Drosophila melanogaster: one gene and its partner. The protein of the gene in region 1 interacts with the protein of each later gene in a pairwise test. Each region holds a gene or a part of one and is shown in the gene's direction. Other genes may lie near its edges.

What was found. Proteins that work in one complex are often made in the same cells at the same time.
Region 2: the proteins of Zasp67 (region 1) and Indy interact in a two-hybrid assay, tested with the Drosophila melanogaster proteins (one large-scale study listed by BioGRID).

What each region holds. Positions count from the first base shown.
Region 1 is NT_037436.4:9,792,204-9,801,029, reverse strand, and holds the start of Zasp67 (Z band alternatively spliced PDZ-motif protein 67), read left to right. Parts: upstream 1-3,342; 5' UTR 3,343-3,503; coding exon 3,504-3,602; intron 3,603-6,267; coding exon 6,268-6,419; intron 6,420-7,026; coding exon 7,027-7,503; intron 7,504-7,615; coding exon 7,616-7,865; intron 7,866-8,095; coding exon 8,096-8,696; intron 8,697-8,813; coding exon 8,814-8,826. Other genes in the region: Ilp2 (Insulin-like peptide 2), read right to left, coding at 780-1,030, 1,104-1,266; CG32052 (uncharacterized protein), read right to left, coding at 1,784-1,859; Ilp1 (Insulin-like peptide 1), read right to left, coding at 2,132-2,596.
Region 2 is NT_037436.4:18,841,594-18,850,617, reverse strand, and holds the start of Indy (I'm not dead yet), read left to right. Parts: upstream 1-4,350; 5' UTR 4,351-4,558; coding exon 4,559-4,582; intron 4,583-7,831; exon of another isoform or gene 7,832-8,272; intron 8,273-8,351; exon of another isoform or gene 8,352-8,404; intron 8,405-8,469; exon of another isoform or gene 8,470-9,024. UniProt on the Drosophila melanogaster protein: Cation-independent electroneutral transporter (not associated with membrane depolarization) of a variety of tricarboxylic and dicarboxylic acid-cycle intermediates. There is also small, but detectable, transport of monocarboxylics.

The sequences.
Region 1 (8,826 bases):
ACTTTTAATGCCTTGCATTTGGTAATGCGTGATTGTTATTTAAGGTCTGCATGAATTTAGTTGATTCCGTTTATTTTAGCTTTCAAAATGTAATAATCTTCTAATTTACAACTACACAGAACGATTAAATTATGAGTATTGCTATAAAATCGGCCAACCGCGACTAGAAATACTCGACTTTTAAGGTCAACATAAAAGTAAGTCAATGTTTTGATTATAAGATTTGATCAATTACTTCTTTACGGATGATATAATCATCGATAAACGAAGTACGAAAAAAGCTATGAACTAAAATTTGGAAATTTCCCACATGCGACTAACTTTTGAATTGCAATTGGATTGCCTACTGTATTAAGACAGAAACAAGTTTTGGAAATGAATGAATGGTTTAAATTGTTTCAAGTTTTTTTAAGATTTTTTTTGTTTTCAATAAATTTAGTTTTAATAGAAAAAAAGATATATTCATTTTAGATTTCTGAATACTTGTGTTATATCGCTTTTTATTCAAGTGTAATAATCAACATATATATCATATAATGATAATAATAAATGTAACGTCCCAAATTAATAATAATATAAAGTAGCATTTGCGATTGTTTGCCAAAGCTTAAAGCAGAATATATATTTAATCCATTTCGATCATTCGTAAAGAGTAACATGCAACAAGCTGTAAAAAACATCGATTGTAGTATATATGCACATGGTTGGTTTGGAACCAGATCCAGAGATAATCGCGTCGACCAGGTCAGTTGGGGTCAATGATTTTCGCATTAGGAGGCCTAATTTCTGACCACGGAGCAGTACTCCCGCAGAGCCTTCATATCACAGGACTTTTTGCAGCACCTCTCCACGATTCCTTGCCGTTGGCGAGTTCGCCTCCGGACTTCAGCCAGGGAATTGAGTACACCCCCAAGATAGCTCCCAGGAAAGAGGGCACTTCGCAGCGGTTCCGATATCGAGTTATCCTCCTCCTCGAACTCCTGGACAAACTGCAGGGGATTGAGGGCGTCCAGATCGCTGTCGGCACCGGCTAATAAAAATCGTGGATACAATGTAGATCTAGCAAAGCCAGCTTGAGGATCTGCATCCTTGTAAGAACTTACGCATGGCGCGCTTGTGTGGAATCACGGGATTATACTCCTCGCACACCATACTCAGCACCTCGTTGAGCTTTTCACTGCAGAGCGTTCCTTGGGCCAACTTCACTGTGGAGCTGGCCAGCAAAATCACGGCCACCATCGAGATGAAGGACAAAGGCTTGCTCATGGTTATGGGTTTACTGCTTAGGTTGCTTTACGATCAAATGGATTAAGTTGGGTCGAGCCGGGTCGAAAGCTAACTGATGATGTTTGGCCCAAAGTAACTGGCTTATATACTGCCTCGTAAGAAACTTAAACTGGGTCTGGGTCGGGGTCGGTCTCTCGGGGTCGGGGTCTGGATCCACACACATGTTATCCTCAAAAGTCAGGTTGTCAAATTGTGTTAGGATGCGATGAGTGCATTCCGGAGTTGGCTCTTCTCTCTAACGCCTGGCTAAACTCATTCAATGTCAAAGCTGACTTATGCAAATGGCTATTGGAAAATTGTGGGTGGTTTTTGGGTGGCTGTGTTTGGGAGAAGAAGGGCTTTGTGGGCGTTTTGCTGTCAGCCAATTAAACAATTTATGTATAAACAGCCAGGCCGTACTAAGCCCTGCATTTATGAATACCAAATAAGTCCTTGGTCTTAAAGTTACCTCGCCTTTACAGCCCGTTTGCCTCTACCATTTCTACCCTATACTTACCAATCCGCGCCTGGGCGCCCGGCAGGCCGGAGTAGGCCAACAAGAACCCGAGCCAGCTGATTGGAGCCAGCAGCATCCTGGCAACGAATTACGCCTCCTTGGTACTTTTCCTTTGACTGTCTTGTCTTTGCCGCTCACACAAATTCTTCTTTTTGCACTGTCTACTTTTATTCATTAGTCAAAGTTGGTGCTGCATAAATAAGTGATTACGAATTGGATTACGAATGCTGTTAGGAGAACGGGTGTACATATAGTATGTATGTGGGAATGCCATGTTCAAGTGTTCGTATGTATGTATGTATGTGTATGCATGCTGGGTAATGAATGTGTGTGTGTTGGCCAAGTGTCCTATTTCGGTAGACAGTAGATGGCTAACTCCAAGTAGCTGCAGGTCTTGACGCAGCACTCGTCGTAGACGCCACCGGTCAGGTGTCTCCTGTGGCGACGCATCTTGATCAGGACCTCGGATCCGTACAGATTGGTTAGCAGTGGACTAAAAGAGTATCCTGCCCCGTCCAGTGTCTGCCACATGCTGCTATCATCCTGCACCTCCTGCTCCGTGTCCTCGTCGTCGTCGCTGTTGCCCAGCAAGCTTTCACGTTTCCTTGGCAGCGTATTAAAGCCATGGGGACACACCACATCCATGGCATCGGACAGTGCGGGGCCGCAGAGTTTGTGGTTTCCGGGGGGCAGCAACTGGTGACCACTGCCAGTCGGCGTGACCATTGCCATTGCAGCGGTGAGCATGGCTGCGATGAGCAGCGACTGGAGCCGAAGGCCATGTACTGCTGCACCGTTGTGCTGGCTAAACATCTTGGATATGCAGTGAATGCTCTGGGCTGCAACTGGTATTTATACCACTAAATCGGAAGCGCTAGCTAATGCAGTTCAATGGCCTCTTCTGCAGTCTAGCATTGCAGTGGCATAGCAAGCCCCACGGGCGTACAAACTGCAAATCCTTTGATCACCCATGTTTCAGGTACCGTTTTTCCCCTAAAAATGCAAACTCTATTTCTAGCTCTACTCCCCAATTTGGATGGAAAAGCGATGCACTGTTGTTTTGGTAGTTGGGGTATTGTATTGTATTTCTTAGCAAATATCAGTTGTATCATTACCTATATCTATCTATACCAATAGTTTGGAATGTATTTGTAAGACATTTTTAAGATATTCAGAAGAGTTAGCCTTATGGGACTTGCTCTAAAGTGTGAATTGATGCACACAGCTTTATCGAGCATAGTTTTCAGTGTAATCACCGCCAAAAAATCCGCCCACTTCAAAGCATAACCCGTTCGCCCAACCTGTTACATTGCCGCTAAGAGGCTCTGACTGCTGTCGATTGCGATTACGATTACGACCAGATATCTGTGGGGCATGGGGATAAGGGGTATGTGGGCCGATGGCTGACAGTGTGGCAGCCTCATTAGCATGTCGTGGCCAGGAGGAAAGTATGCTTCGATGAAGCTCCTCCGGCGGCAGTGTGCGAAATCGCTTCGATCACCATCATCGCCATCGCCATGGCCACTCGATTGTCGAGTTGCACGCACGGCGATGCCAACAGTTGGTTGCCAGCGCTGCACTCGAAACACTCGCTTCTTCCCACCGACCGCAAAGTGCCGGAAAAGCTAGAAAAAAAGCAAAAAAAAAAGTGGAAGAAAATTCGCGATAGAAAACGGAAAAATCGAAACGAACAAAAAAAGTCGGAATAAATCAAGGAAACATGGTGCTCGACATTAAGATGTGCCGATTTGATAATGTGCCCTGGGGCTTTCGCCTGGTGGGCGGGGCGGACTACGATTATCCGCTGACGGTGGTTAAGGTTAGGCCCGATTCGAAAAAAGAACGAAATCTATATGCTGCAACCCCCACCCCCCCACGCATCACCTCAGCCCATTCACCTGGCGGATGTTCATAGACCAGTGGAAAATATTGCTCACTATGCAGCTGATGAATCACATTGGATTAATTCGATACGATACGTTCGAATCAGTTTTATTTGTTCGATTGCAATATTACGTAACGCCGCGATGCGTGTGTGTCCATTCGGATTTGCTGCATTGGCAAATTAGTTAATTAAAGTAATTCCTCTCGCTTTTGTTTATCTAATCGACAGGGCCATACATTTCCCGCTAATGAGCCGCATAATGGCAGCGGCAATAAACTTATTCAAATTTTAATTGTGTTTCGCTGGCAGTTGGTCCTTTGTTTGTGCATAAATTGCATTTGGCAATTCGCATTTTGTAACATTGTGTTGACAATTCGCAACCAGCAACAATAACAAAAATACAATACATACAATACTATAGCATCGTCGTAAATCCGAAACAAATGCGATTTTTAATTGGCAAACTGCTAAGCGCATAAAACAAATGACCGAAATGCGAGGGGCGCTAAAAAATCCCATCCCTTCGATACGAATAAATCAATTTAAGCCGCAGAGTCAAGGAAGGGAGGTCATAAATTGTTTTTGACTTTTTGGTTATTTTTTTTTTACCGTTTTACATAAACAAATTATGCTATGGGTTATTTTAAATTCCGATCAATTTATAAAATGTTTGTGCTTTGGGATATGCATACCATGAAAAAATGGAAGTTTATTGTAAATGAATTATTAACTTCACAAGCTGGCTGATAGAGAAAAAACTGAAAAATGTCCGGAATGTTCTTCATTCCAATGAACTCCCTAAATTAACTTAGCTAATTTATTCCTTATACTAATACTCCGCTTTTAAGAATTCCTTACTACATGTTAGAGACTCAAAAAGCACATCCTTCGACTCGAGTCCATATTACTTTATGGAATGTGCCAACACACCTTCACATATTGGCTCTGCAAACACTAAACAATCCTTGGTAATCTTTTGAAAAACCTCTGTTTACACTACCACTCTTCGTCATGCTGCTCGCCACATACAGTCTGGTACATAGATGTATGGCCCAGCTAAGCCCAAAGCCTTTGTTCTATAAATATTCGCAACCTCCGACGATGTCGAGTGCTTTTTGCTCTGCGAATTCACCGCTGGAAATTGACTCTACCATAAGTGAAATGCAAGAGACCCCTGGGACTGAAAGGAAAGACCCTCAACTTGGTTGGGTGAAATGGTGGAGTCTCCAACCCTCCACCTGCTCCTTGTGCCAACCACTTTTTTTTTTTTGCAGTATTTGCATTACTAAGTCCTCTTGGCAGTCGGTGTCGTGACTTTCTGGTTATGAACCCTGCTTTCTCATAACGGAAACGAAAACAATCGCGTTTATTTGCCCACGAAAGTGTTACAAAACTGCCTGAATTATGCAATAGAATTCTTTGAACAGAGTGCTAAGATATTTCGCATTTTGAAGGCGAAACATAATTCATCCATAACTATTAGTTTGATGAATTCTCACTTCGTATGCTGGCAATTTTGAAGGCCGAAGTGGCAAAACCATTTTAAATGAATTCCTACAATTTATATGCTCAATTTGCGCCAATTTGTCTGTACTTTATTACCCACAAAAGCCATAAAGCTTATATTGTATTTAGTTGTTATTGTTCTCGCAACATTTTCACTTTGATTTATAGTTGCGAAAATAAATGTTGGCAAATGCAAATTTTTGAAACGATATTCTCTTACACGGTCATTTGGTACCATTTCCGGAATATACATTTACCAATTTTCCAAAAAAAGAGCCATAAATTGTATTATCCAATTAAAACGATTAGTCCAGTGGGTTTTTATTTCTAAAAATTTAATTTTGTAATTAGAGAAAACTATTGTGAACTTTGGATGACCTAGAAAGTTTCATTAGTTGTACATTATTTTTTACCCCCGCTTTAAAATTGCAGAACTTCTGTAAAAAAAAGCTTTTACAAGCTATTTAAATATTAGTGGTAGAGTTGTTTGAACATTTATCTTTTTGGAATCAGCAATATTTGGTTCTCTATCCTTACAAATTAATCTTCTCTTTAAGTGAACTCATAACTTTGTATATATGTACGTATGTAGAATCATCCTTCAACTCAAACATTTCCATCCGGCGAAACAATGCAATATTTGAGTGGTTAGACATGGGTAATTCCACTTGACTCGCTTAACTGAAGTGTCGTTAATGAGCTGCCACTTCTACTCGAGCACCCCTCGTTCTGAGCCCCCAGCCCCCACAGATCCTCTGTAGCCCCCCCATCTCCTTGGGCATTGTCTTCGGTTCTGTTGGGTTTGTGCGTGATTGTATGATTGTCTGTTCGGGGGTCTGGGTCTGCTGGTCTTTGTTTTGTTGACATTTGGCGCGCGTTTTATTTTTATGCACTTAGCACGCGACGTCGCCGTTGTCGGCTAATAGAAATTTCCCCATTATCGCATCGCATCCCATTGTATTGTATCTCGGCTATCTCGACTATCTCGGCCTCGCACTCATTCTATCGCCACATTCCCATATCCGCATCTGAATCGGGCGATATCTAGGCATTCCCATCTAGATCTAAACATGTCCATATGCTTCAACGTTAGGTGACCGAGGGCAGCATTGCTGACGAGGCTGGACTGCGGGTCGAGGATATCATCGTGCGCATCAATGACACGGCTGCCACGCCCCTTACCCACGACGAGGCCCACCGCCTCATTATGGGCAGTGGAAGCGTCTTCTATTTTGGCGTCTACCGGTGAGCTTTCCCATCCTTCTATTCCATACCATTCCGTTTCGTTCTCTTACTGCTCGTGGTCGTGGTCCTCGTCCTTGTCCGGTTCCTTTACTACTACTCTTTGTATCCCATCCACCGAGGACCATTTATCACAGCTGAGCGGGCTAACAACCCAAGAACGTTTCCTCATGCCCCTGCTCAAGGTAATCTACTTGTTCAAGAAATTCACAAACCACAAACGACCTCGAGAGAAATGGAAAAAATATGACAAATTTTCGTGATTTAAGAATAAAGTTCTGGAAAAATAAAGCGCTTTCTTAAAAAGTTGTCTGGGTAAAATGACATTTGGTTAATATATCATAATAGTTAATTTTATTATAATTATAAACTAAGAAAAGTTAAATTCAAAAACCCACCTAGCCCCATTAGTTTTGAAAATTACCCTACCATTTTAGAAGCAATTTATATTATTTGAATTAAGTTTGTATTTCAACTTTTTCGGGTTATGAATAATTATTCTTAGAGTGTCCCCGAAACCAGGGCTCCATCTCAGGTATTCCACGTTACGGAATTAATTCTAATGTTCATAAATTCTGCTCACTTTTTGGTCACTTGGATCCATGTGCAGGGAGAACGAGGAGGACGCTTACGAGTGCCTAAAGAAGTTTCCCACGAGCGAGGGTTCGTTGACCAAGTCACCAATGCCGACCATTTCACCGTCGCCGACTCCATCGCTGTCCCAGCTGACGGAAACCACAAATGCCCGTACTCCGGAACCGGAGCCATTCGTTCCGCTACCCCGGGAACTCGCTGCTGCGACTATGGCGGCTCCTGCTGTGGAAGTGGACGTGGATGTCCTGGCGGAATGTCGCCAACCCATGTCGGAAGTGCATTCGGAAGAGAAACGAGGGGATGTGAATGGGCATGATGCACCAGGCCAGGCAGATGAAGGAGGCCTTCCCGTCGAGAATCTCTACTTGCCCGATTTACCCGATCGTCCGTGCTCGGCGCTGTCCGAAAGGCAGGAAATTAAGCTGGTGGAGGAGGAAATTGCAGCCGTGCTGTCCGGCGAGTCGGAGGTGCTCAAGGAGCACAATGTCCTTGGGTGCGTACTATTCAATTTAAACCCATTTCTCCCGCCAGTTCCCTCCTTGACTACTTCCCCATTTGTTGGCATGCTATGCGGGCGAGTTCTTTTAACCACTTCCATATGATAGCGTCAATTTCTATAGGATCTTCCCAAAGCCGGGCGTCTGCATGTCCAGCGACGTACTGCGCTCCCTCAACGAGGAGGTGACCAAGACCAAGCTGGAGAAGGACAAGGAGAACCGTCAATGGTCCACTTTCCTGCAGCGTCCCAATCGCCCCGTTCCCAAGAGCAAGCAATCCCTGGAGGCGGAACGACGGGCGGCCAATGCCTACAAGGTGACGATTGTTAAGTCGGCGCCACGGGAAAAGTCGCCAATGGTGAGTGAGTGAATGCACTCAGAGGAAAGCTGCACGAAATTTGAGAATATTAACCCAAGAAGCTTGTGCACAAAACAAAACTTTAAGATTAAGATGCAAAAGTGATGAGATGTGTTAATTTTTAAGAAAAAGTTCCTTAATCTTAAATCGTAGATTCTTGGGTTAAATTTTCTCTCAGTGCATTATTTGCTGACCAAGATCAAAAGTTAATTTGTGTTTACGTGTGACAGCCGGAAGCTAAGCCGGCGCCAAAAGAAGCAACGCCACCCAAGGAAGTGGAGAAGAAGGAAGAGGAACCAGTGCCGGAGGAGGTGGTGGAGCCCGAACCGGAGCCCGAAAAGGATGAGGAACCACTGCCCACGGACAGTGAGGTGCCGAATTTGGAGCAACTTCCCGAGACCGAATTGCCGGACGAGCAGCCGGAGAAGAGTGATGCCCCCAAGGAGGTTTGCGAGCCGGAAGTGGTTATCCAAACAGAACCGGGCTCACCCGATGGCAACGAAGCTTCCGATGGTCCAGCAGGAGCAACCCCACCGGCGGAACCCATTACTCCAGTGCCAGTTAAAAGCGAGGAGGAATTGGCCCTGGAGCGCCAGTTGGCAGATGTGCAGCGACAACTGGCCGCCCTCTCGTCACTGCCCTCCACCATTCAGTCCACCCTGGATGCAGTGACCAAGCAGCTGGCCGACTTGCTGCCCACCATTAAGCTGCAGCAGCAGGAGAAGCAGTTGCCGCAAATCGATGAAAATTCAGGCAACGAGGAGCAGGTTGAGGAAGGGGTGACCACTGCCACCAACACCATCAACACCGCAGGCGAAACAGAGGATGCAGGTGCAAAAAACTATGCCCAGGTCGACAGTAATTAAATTTTTCTAATGCCGCACTTTTGCGTATATCCTTTGCACCAAATTCCTCCCCTTGCTACCCACTTTACCGCATGTCCTGCAGGCAAGGACATATC
Region 2 (9,024 bases), 9.0 Mb from region 1:
GATTTTTTTTGCTTATTTTTTGCTTTTTTAATTGCAAACGAGGGGAGGGTTAGCGAAAACTGTAAAAAAATGGTTAGGGTTTTTTCGGGCAAAACTAGAAAATATTTGCACGCATATCACGGCAATTACTTACGGTTTTTTGAACACTTCCCTTACTTTTTGTTTTTTTTTTTTTTTCATTTCGCTGATGAAAAAAGGGGCTTTGAGTGGGAAAAGAATCTTAAATATGTATCTCTTCGGTGCCATATTATCTTAAACTCTGCGTAAGGAAATATAGCCACTTTCATGTGGATCTGGGTAAGCCCGCAGCAAAGTTTTCCCTTCATTGATCTCTAACACCTACGCTTCGATCGAAGTCGAAAATCGAGTGGTTTCCCATCAAGTGGCGATCAACAAACAGCGATTTACAAAACCGAAAAAACCCAGAGCAGCTGCGCAAAAAAAAAAGGAATCATTCAACCCGCTGCTAAAAAAAAAAAAAAAATCTCGCCGAGGACAAAACAAAAACAAATGCTAGACGGCCCAAAAAACGAAAGGGGGAAATTCAATGCCGTGAAAAGGGTAGGCGAAGAGAGAGAAGGAGAGAGGGTTTCTGATCCGGAGTCCTTCTCTGGAGTTCGTTATCCTGGCCCGAAATCGTCGAAAGGGGCAGGCACAAAGCAGCATCGTCGCAATCAACGTCTGACAGCTCGGCGCGCAACTGCAGCGTCAGTTTGGTATGGTATGGAATATGGGATAGTTATTAATATTATAGGGTTGCGATTTGGGGTTTACGGGAAGTTGCCTCTAACCGCTCGGAAAACTGCAATGGGTGTTAACGGTCGCTGCGGCTGCGCTGATCCCCGATGCCAGCTTGCTCATCATGATCATTATCATGATCATAATGACGACGATGACGCGGCAGAAGAAGTCTGATCTCGTTGAAATCAAAATAATGAAATTTACTTCCGCTTTGTTCTTCCTCCCTTCAATGAAATTTAATATGGCCTGTTAATGATATTTTCACAATTTGTACTCCTGCTTCTGATCGTAATTGGTTGGCGGGGGCGTCGCCGTTGATTACCAATTCAAGGATCTCGTTCCTTTGACCAAATACTTCTTGCCAGCTAATTAACAAAATTAAAGTTACTTCCGTATCGTCAATGAACATGGTGCGTCGATATTATGACTATCCTTATAGTTTTGTTAACCATCATATGGCATCCATGCTACATTTAAAAAATAAAACTCATAACGGAGAAAAACTTTAAGCTTTTTACGTTTGTTTTTTATCATGACATTTATATCATTTATCTTATATAAAGAAAAAAGAAACCGAAATGAACGTCTTCAAATGAGCTGAAAAGATTCCAATCTAATTTTAGAAAAGTATAATAATTGATGGTAATTGTCCAGTAATTTTCGAAATCAAAAGAGCTTACTCACCTTCTTAGAAAACTTATCGATAAAATTGCAAACAGAGATTAAGATGAAAAACAAGGTGTCCAACAGAAGTAAGTTTCCAATTGGTGATTTCATTGACCGACTTGATTGTGTTTATATATGAATTAAACCAACAAATAAAAAAAAATATTTTAAAAATCGTTAAAATGTCCTTGAGTACGCTGTGATCTCGGAATAGTTAAGATTAAGTATGCAGATCCTCGCGACGTCGACGCCGTTCATGCTTCAGAGCATTGCCACGCCCACTTGGCGCCAAAAACCACTAATCAGGCAATTTTTAAAAACATTTTGATTATTTGAATTTTATGTTACTTCATCTCTATTGATATGCCAAAAAACATTATGGGTAGATTACGCCCACAATTTTCAACAAGCTGTTGAATTTCGATATTTTATATGTTTTTTTCCAATTTCTAACGATATTCACAAAACAATTTTAAAATTTCAACTGTGCATTCCCACTCGCTAAGCAATGGATACCTTTTTTTAATTAATTTTTATTAGCACGAAGATTCTATGTAAAGCACCATCTGTCGGCAGGCGACAGAACTTGATCAGCTCTTTCTAAGTTCACAACCCCACGATACAATGCTCGGGTTCATGTCAAATTACACGTAAGTAAAAACGTGCTGGCGAATTTAAGCGAGGCGAACTGATTTTGCGAGCGAAAAAGAAAGAGAGCGAATTCGGCGAAAATACGCAATAAAGTGACTAAAAGTACTTAAATATTAAAAATTTTCGTAAAGGTATTAGCTAAAATTTTTATATTTTTTTATTTATTTGTACACTGTAGACAAAAGTTTTAAAGTTATGATTCATGATAGTTAATGTAAAGATACGCTATAGCTGTTGGGGTTTTCAGCCAGCCTTTAATATTTACTATTTAATATTTAAGTATTAGGTTACAACATTACTTACAATTATTTACAATATATTTAAAGGGATTAATAATTGGGGATTACGAAAAATTGTTTACAGTAAATGGATTATATTGGCTTTTTTCAGAAATTTGGATGTGGGGGTTTTTAAGATGTCTATAAGTTTTGAATTCGTGTTGCTGGATCTAAGGGGACTGAAGGGCGATGAAATCGTTTAGGATGCAGGGTATTAGGAAATGTAGGAAATCGGGGTCAATATTGCAGACACAGCATTCGCTGTAGATTGGCTGGAAGAATCGGAGCTCATTATACTAGATTTAAAAAGTATGTAACAGGCAGAAGGAAGCGTTTCGCACTATATAAAGTATATATATTCCTGATCAGGATCAATAGCCGAGTCGATCTACCCATGTCCGCCTGTCCGTATGAACGTCGAGATCTCAGATCGCAGAAGTTTTAGTTGCACTGGCATCAGACTAGGAATGCGGAAAAAAATGAAAGATTTCGTTTTCCCCATTACAATTGATCCTGATTCTGCCAAGAATTAATCACAAATTAACAGTGATAGTTTAGGTAAAGATTTGAGTTTAGACACATGATTCATGCACTCAGAATGTATTTCTTCAGGTACCACGGCGTGCAAAAAAAATATCTAGCATAAACACGCTTTATGCCATCGAAAATTTCGATCGGAAGTGATCAGAGAAGTGAGAAAGTAAGAGCAAGAGAAAAGTAAGGCAACTTAATTTTTTTTCAATAAGACTGTATCTTCTTTAAAGTCAGTTTGTATTCTTTATATTTGAAAACATTAAAATTTTTCAACTTATGGATTTTTATTAGGAAGACCATCATAATTTATTCAAATCCTGAAGAGAGGAGTGAAAAAAGGAAAAGTAAGACAGACATTCAAAACTAGAGGAGCTCGAGTTCCTATAATATAAGACATTTAAAATTCGTTGGAAATATAGAAACATAGTGGCAATAAAGATAACAATATAAAATAAATCAAAACATTTCTAAATGTGTGGTGGCTATTTTTCGTTACTTAAAACTGCATTCTTTAACTTCCATACGGAGTAATGCTGGGGTCGTTTTGAATTATATCATATATTTTATAGCCAGACTCAGTATATCTCCTGGTCCTGGCAGATCACCGGAACCCACTTCTCATCAGTGAAAATGACAGGTAAGATCGACTTTTTAAGCTATTTTTGCACTTTGATATAAAAAGAAATTTAATTTCAGACAACCACAAAACGCTGAAGGAACATCAACATACACCCTTTGCCAGCTGAGTGTTCCGTTTTGAGTCTTTGGAAAAGGCTTTTCATACTCACATATTAAAATTCATCAACATGGGCATGAGTCGCTGACTTATGCTAAATAGAACAGTCTGTATCGACAACATAATCCTAAATTAATGAAATGCCAAGTTACACCGGTCTCGAAAAATGCATTAGCAATTTGCACGGTGAGTCAAAGAGACTATAGGAACTACAAAGCATATTCAAACAACATTTAATTAAATTTCAAGGCCAGAGTATGTATATATCGCGTTGTTCTACATTTGACAAACGTAAAATAAATTTCAATTACATGCGGAGTATACCAAAAATTGTTTGAAAAGGGTTTTTGACTGCCTGTTAAAATTACAAAGTATCAAAGTATTAACATGGCTTAAATAAAGAGCACTTTTAAAAATATTTATATAAAAATATTAAAGTAACCCTTCCGAATATTTTAATTTACCATAAAGGTCAACTAGGTAAAAAATACTTTAAGTGTACGAACGATATGTAGATATACCTGTGTAGAATATAGTAAATACGCCCCTACAAAGAAGCATGCACAGCAAAAACAAGTTTAAATGTGTCTCTTAGCGTATTAAAGTATTTGTATTTGCCCACAGAGACAACGACAACTTATCAGATATTTTCCATGTCCAGGGCTTAAAAGAGAGAGAGAGCGAGTGAGAGAGAGAGAGAGAGGAGAATGCGAAAGAAAATCGTTTGGGTTTGGTTTTGAGTTTTGGTAGCATTCGCATATTAGTCGTCGAACGCAAAGCAACATATTCATAAAAAGTGGTCTAGCCAACGAATATATATATATATATATGTTATTTTTCGGCGCGGTGGTGGAAATTATGAAATAATCGCTTACGGTTGTGCTGAAAGAGAAACGGCGTGATCAATTCTTCAGATATACCAATAGTATCTATACCATATAGATCCCCAACCATGGCGACCGAAACTACAAAAATGGTAAGTTTGATTTTGAGAAAGCGGTAATTACTTGTGATTAGGCAGGTGATTAGTGATAAGTGGTTTGCAGCTAGAAATTTGGGAACGTGGCGGCATTTCGTCTTTTCCGGTTAATTGCTTTTCGTTGACCTTGAGAACCTGCCTTAATGCCCGGCAAGCCCCTAGGACTTTTCGCGACGAACTGTTAAGATCCGACTGAAAACCTGGTTTCGAGTTTGAGTAGCGCGTGGCAATCGGGTTAGGTAAGAGAGTGTTATGTAAACAAAGTCCAAAACCAAGTGTTTTATCAATTTTAAAATGATTTTGAGATCACATGTGCTGCTATTGTGCTCCTTAGCCGAAGTGCTTCTGTTCCCGACTTTGGAGATATATTCCACTCCCTAGAAAATAAGTACTTATATAAAAACACTTCCAATCATTTTGCTCTCTTATTGAGCAGCTTGTTTGAGTGCTCAATCTATAAAGTGTCGTCATACTGTTTACACACCCACTTAACAACCCATGACCAGTTTTTTATTATTCTGCTGGTATGATATCTCCATTTCCCCATCTGTTATCTAACTGAAGCAGCGCACTTTTGTGCAAATCTTCGGAAGTGACACCGCTTTCTTCCCCCACATTCTCCCCATATGTATTATATGTATTATATGTATGCATTATCTCTCTCGTGTGTGGACAACCACCTGACCGAAAAACTGAATGACGACACCGAAAGATAACAATATGTACAAAATTATTCAGATTCAGCAAAATAATTAGCATGCCCCAGGTTTCTCAAGGCAATTAGTGGAAAGGCTTAAAAGCGCTTAACTTTTTTAAGAATCCGTCACAATTCGTCTTTTTATTGAAGAGCAGAGTTATAAACGTGTGATAACGTTGATTCTGGAATTTCCAGAAGCGCGAGGATTGCAAACAGACTTTATGGAACCTAGAAAGTGCAGAGAATATTTAGACAGAAGCTGCTTGAAATGATCAGGCGAGGAATTTCGTTGTAGATTTATAGATATTATAATTATTGTTATTCACTATTTATTGTTGGCACCTCTATCTGATTAATAGACCCAGCGTAAAATAGTAAAACCCTGTTTCAGTAATGAATGAAATGGAACTAGATAAAGCTGATAAATTCATTATGCGTTTTGTTTCACAAATGTCACCCCATTTTTCAAAACAGAGAGTCCAACGATCATTTGAGTACTATGCATTTGAAGTTCAAATTCCAAAAGCAGATGAATGTCTGCATTAGAATTCAAAGTACTTTACGTATATTTTTAGAATCGCCTAGCACTTTGGCTCTCGAACAAATGTTTACTCACATTTTGGCTTATAATCTCCATATTACCTTGAAGAAAATACATCTTTTTTTGTGGGCCCCGCCCCCACACGTGACATGGAATGACGCAAAAGGAAAAACAATTGCAGACGCAGATCTGAAATGTTTATTTCGATATATTCTTTCGTATAATACGCGCAAAATGTGTCTGAACTTAGCATGGGGATTTATTTTGCGGCATTACCTAATGGGACCAATGAATATGATTCTTATTTGATATTCCGACTATTCTATATTATTTATTTAATTGTGTTTCAAAGTGATTAAATGTGGGTCAAACTCAATCTCTGAGCCTTGGTTTTCGGTTTGTTTTGTTTGGCGAACAAAAAAACAAGTTGCAAAAATCTTGAGCTGAAATTTATTGACCGGTGCTAAACTGGTTTTGCTTTTCGAGCACAGGGGGTTTCCTAAGTGAGAGCCTCTAGAGAAGATCTGTTTAATGTTTCAACTTCAACTTGCACGCTTCTCGTTTGAGTGGCCAACAAATTGCTGATCGAAGTCGATTGGAAACGGCTTGAAATCCTGAATTCTTACGATGGTCTTAATAATAGCAGGTAGGGAATTTTCACAACAAAGCACTTGAATAACTTAGCCCTTTTGTAAGTTAATTGCCAGTAATTACAAATAACTAACAACTGTTTCAATAAAATGTAGTGCGAGTTGTTCAAGAACACTGCTTACCAATAATAAAGGGTATTTACCTTATTTGCAGTACATTTCTTACGATTTAAGTATGTATGTTGTTAGCACACATTTAGTGGGTCGGTTTCTTCTACATACATATGTACATATATTTTACTTAACTTCGTGTACACTAATTTATTCGTTGCATTTCATTGTCGCCTTCCGTTCGGTTCAATTAAATTACAGCTCAATGCAATAAAATGATCTCACTTGATCAACTTGCTGCGAAAAAAAAACTTTCCACATATGTTTCTACACACATAAGATACATTTATGATTCATATAGCATTTTCTTGCTTAAACAGCAAGATCAAAGAAAATAATGTGTTGTCAAGCACGGCGCCTCTGAAATAAATCTGATACAATTATCTCCTCTCTGGCGAAATTTAATATGAGTGAAATTTGTTCTGGCAAGTTTCTTAAAGTTGTCGTATTGATTCCCGAATGTTCGATGCACGTAGGTTCCCTAACCGAATCGTCCTCGTTCTCAATTGAATCGATCCAATCAACAATTTATGGCCATTTCCTATGCGACTTTGAAATTTGTTCGTATTGATTTTTACAAAGTGTGTTGGTCTGCAATTATTTCTATGTCATAGAAGCCTACAAATCCGCCGTGGTAAAACTGTTTTTTTCTCTAATTCTGTTATAATTGTATCTAAGCGAAATATTATATATTTTTTTTAGTCAGTGTTACTTTCGTAACAATCTATTTTCCTAGTACATTGCATGTTCAGTCCTTGACAACACCTATTTGAATTTGAAGTTGGAATTCTAAAAATAGAATTTATTTCACCACCCGCGATGATTAAAGAACGTCTAAGTATCTCAACCACTATCTTAACAGGCCACGCTTATTTTTATCAGTTTTTAGTGGAAAACCCATATGTGGAGCATGCCAAATGCAGATGATAGAACATTTACACGCGGCATGCACAGGAAAAGCTTCAAGTCCATTCCATGCCAGCAATCGATGACGATGACAGTGGCAACCACTTGTCACATTCATATCTTTTGCACTTGATGTAAGCAACTAAAACTTGAACAGGCAAACGAGTTTCACGCCGAGATTGACTTGACGACTTGTCGAGTGGTTCCAGTGGATTCTGGACCTCATGCCCACTTTCACCCAGCGAGTGCATGTCCCTCGCCATCGAGAAAGTTTCACTTCAATTACCCAGCTTACATGGGCCTTAACTCATTAAAGCGTAAACGGTGAAGAAGATATTCCTGATGCTTAAGTCATTATACTTATATGGAAAATGAATGATTAAATTTCATTAAAGTAAAGTATGTCTGAACATAAGGTACGATCCTTAATTAACTATTGTACAACTACTTTCTGGCTTAGTTTCTAATTGTTTAGCTTTTTCTTTATGTCATTAAAGAAATACATATGTAATAGATCAACAAAAACATGGACTTAAACACTGATGATACCATTAAATGCCGATTAATGTATTTATGTACATATGTTCTAAGAATAAATAAGGGCATAGTATTGGGTACTGTGTCAGTAATTTCAAATTCCTGTAGTCTTTGTGATCAGCAACAGGTGGCCTGCCGTTATTACCTTCAGGTGTCGCCTGGCTAACGTGGCTGAAATATGTAACAGGTTGCCAGTTTGGTCTAAATGGCACAGCAGTTCCCGTTTTCACGGTACACCGTCTCCTCTCGAAAATGGAAAAAGAAAGTGCTCAATTGAAATAACCAGCTGCACTTAATTGATTACACCAAGCCAATGTTAATTACCATATTCCTTAAGATTTTTTAAGTTCCGTGCACCACAGTTGAGTTTAATAGGTCTGAAAAGTGATAGTGTGTTAATAGAAATTTCTTTAAGAAATAAAAACAAATTGCAAATACTTACCGTTTAATTGGGATGAATCTTAGTCATCAAATCGGCTGCCACTTCGAAACAGCGCACTTCAGCATGGTGATGTTTGCTTGGTTAATGGACCTTAACATCAAGGTGCACTTCCTGCACTGGTGCCTGCTCCTCCTTTACGACCAAGCCGATATAACGGTTCCACCATCCGTATCGTGGGTCTGGAGTCCAGATCCGAGTCCTTATTACCCAACGAAGATGTCGTCGTAGTCCGGTGGCGGGTGTGGTGATGTGGATGTGGACAGGTAGCTGCTGTTGGCGGGACTTAACAGTGAACGATCAGGACCAGGGCTCGGCGGCAGTGGCAGTGGAGTTCCAATTGGTGACCACGGGTTTGTGGGGGTGGCGCTGTTGATCGGAGTCGTCGGTGTTGGTGTTGTGGACGCGTATATCTAAGCGCTGTCCGCCAACTCTTTGACCCAATATGGCTCGACTCAGGGTCTGGCTCTTCAAACTGCCCGTCCTGTATATAATTGGCCAAGAGGCGTAAATTTGTTACAATTGAAATTGAATTATCCCAGTCGCGGAATATTTTAG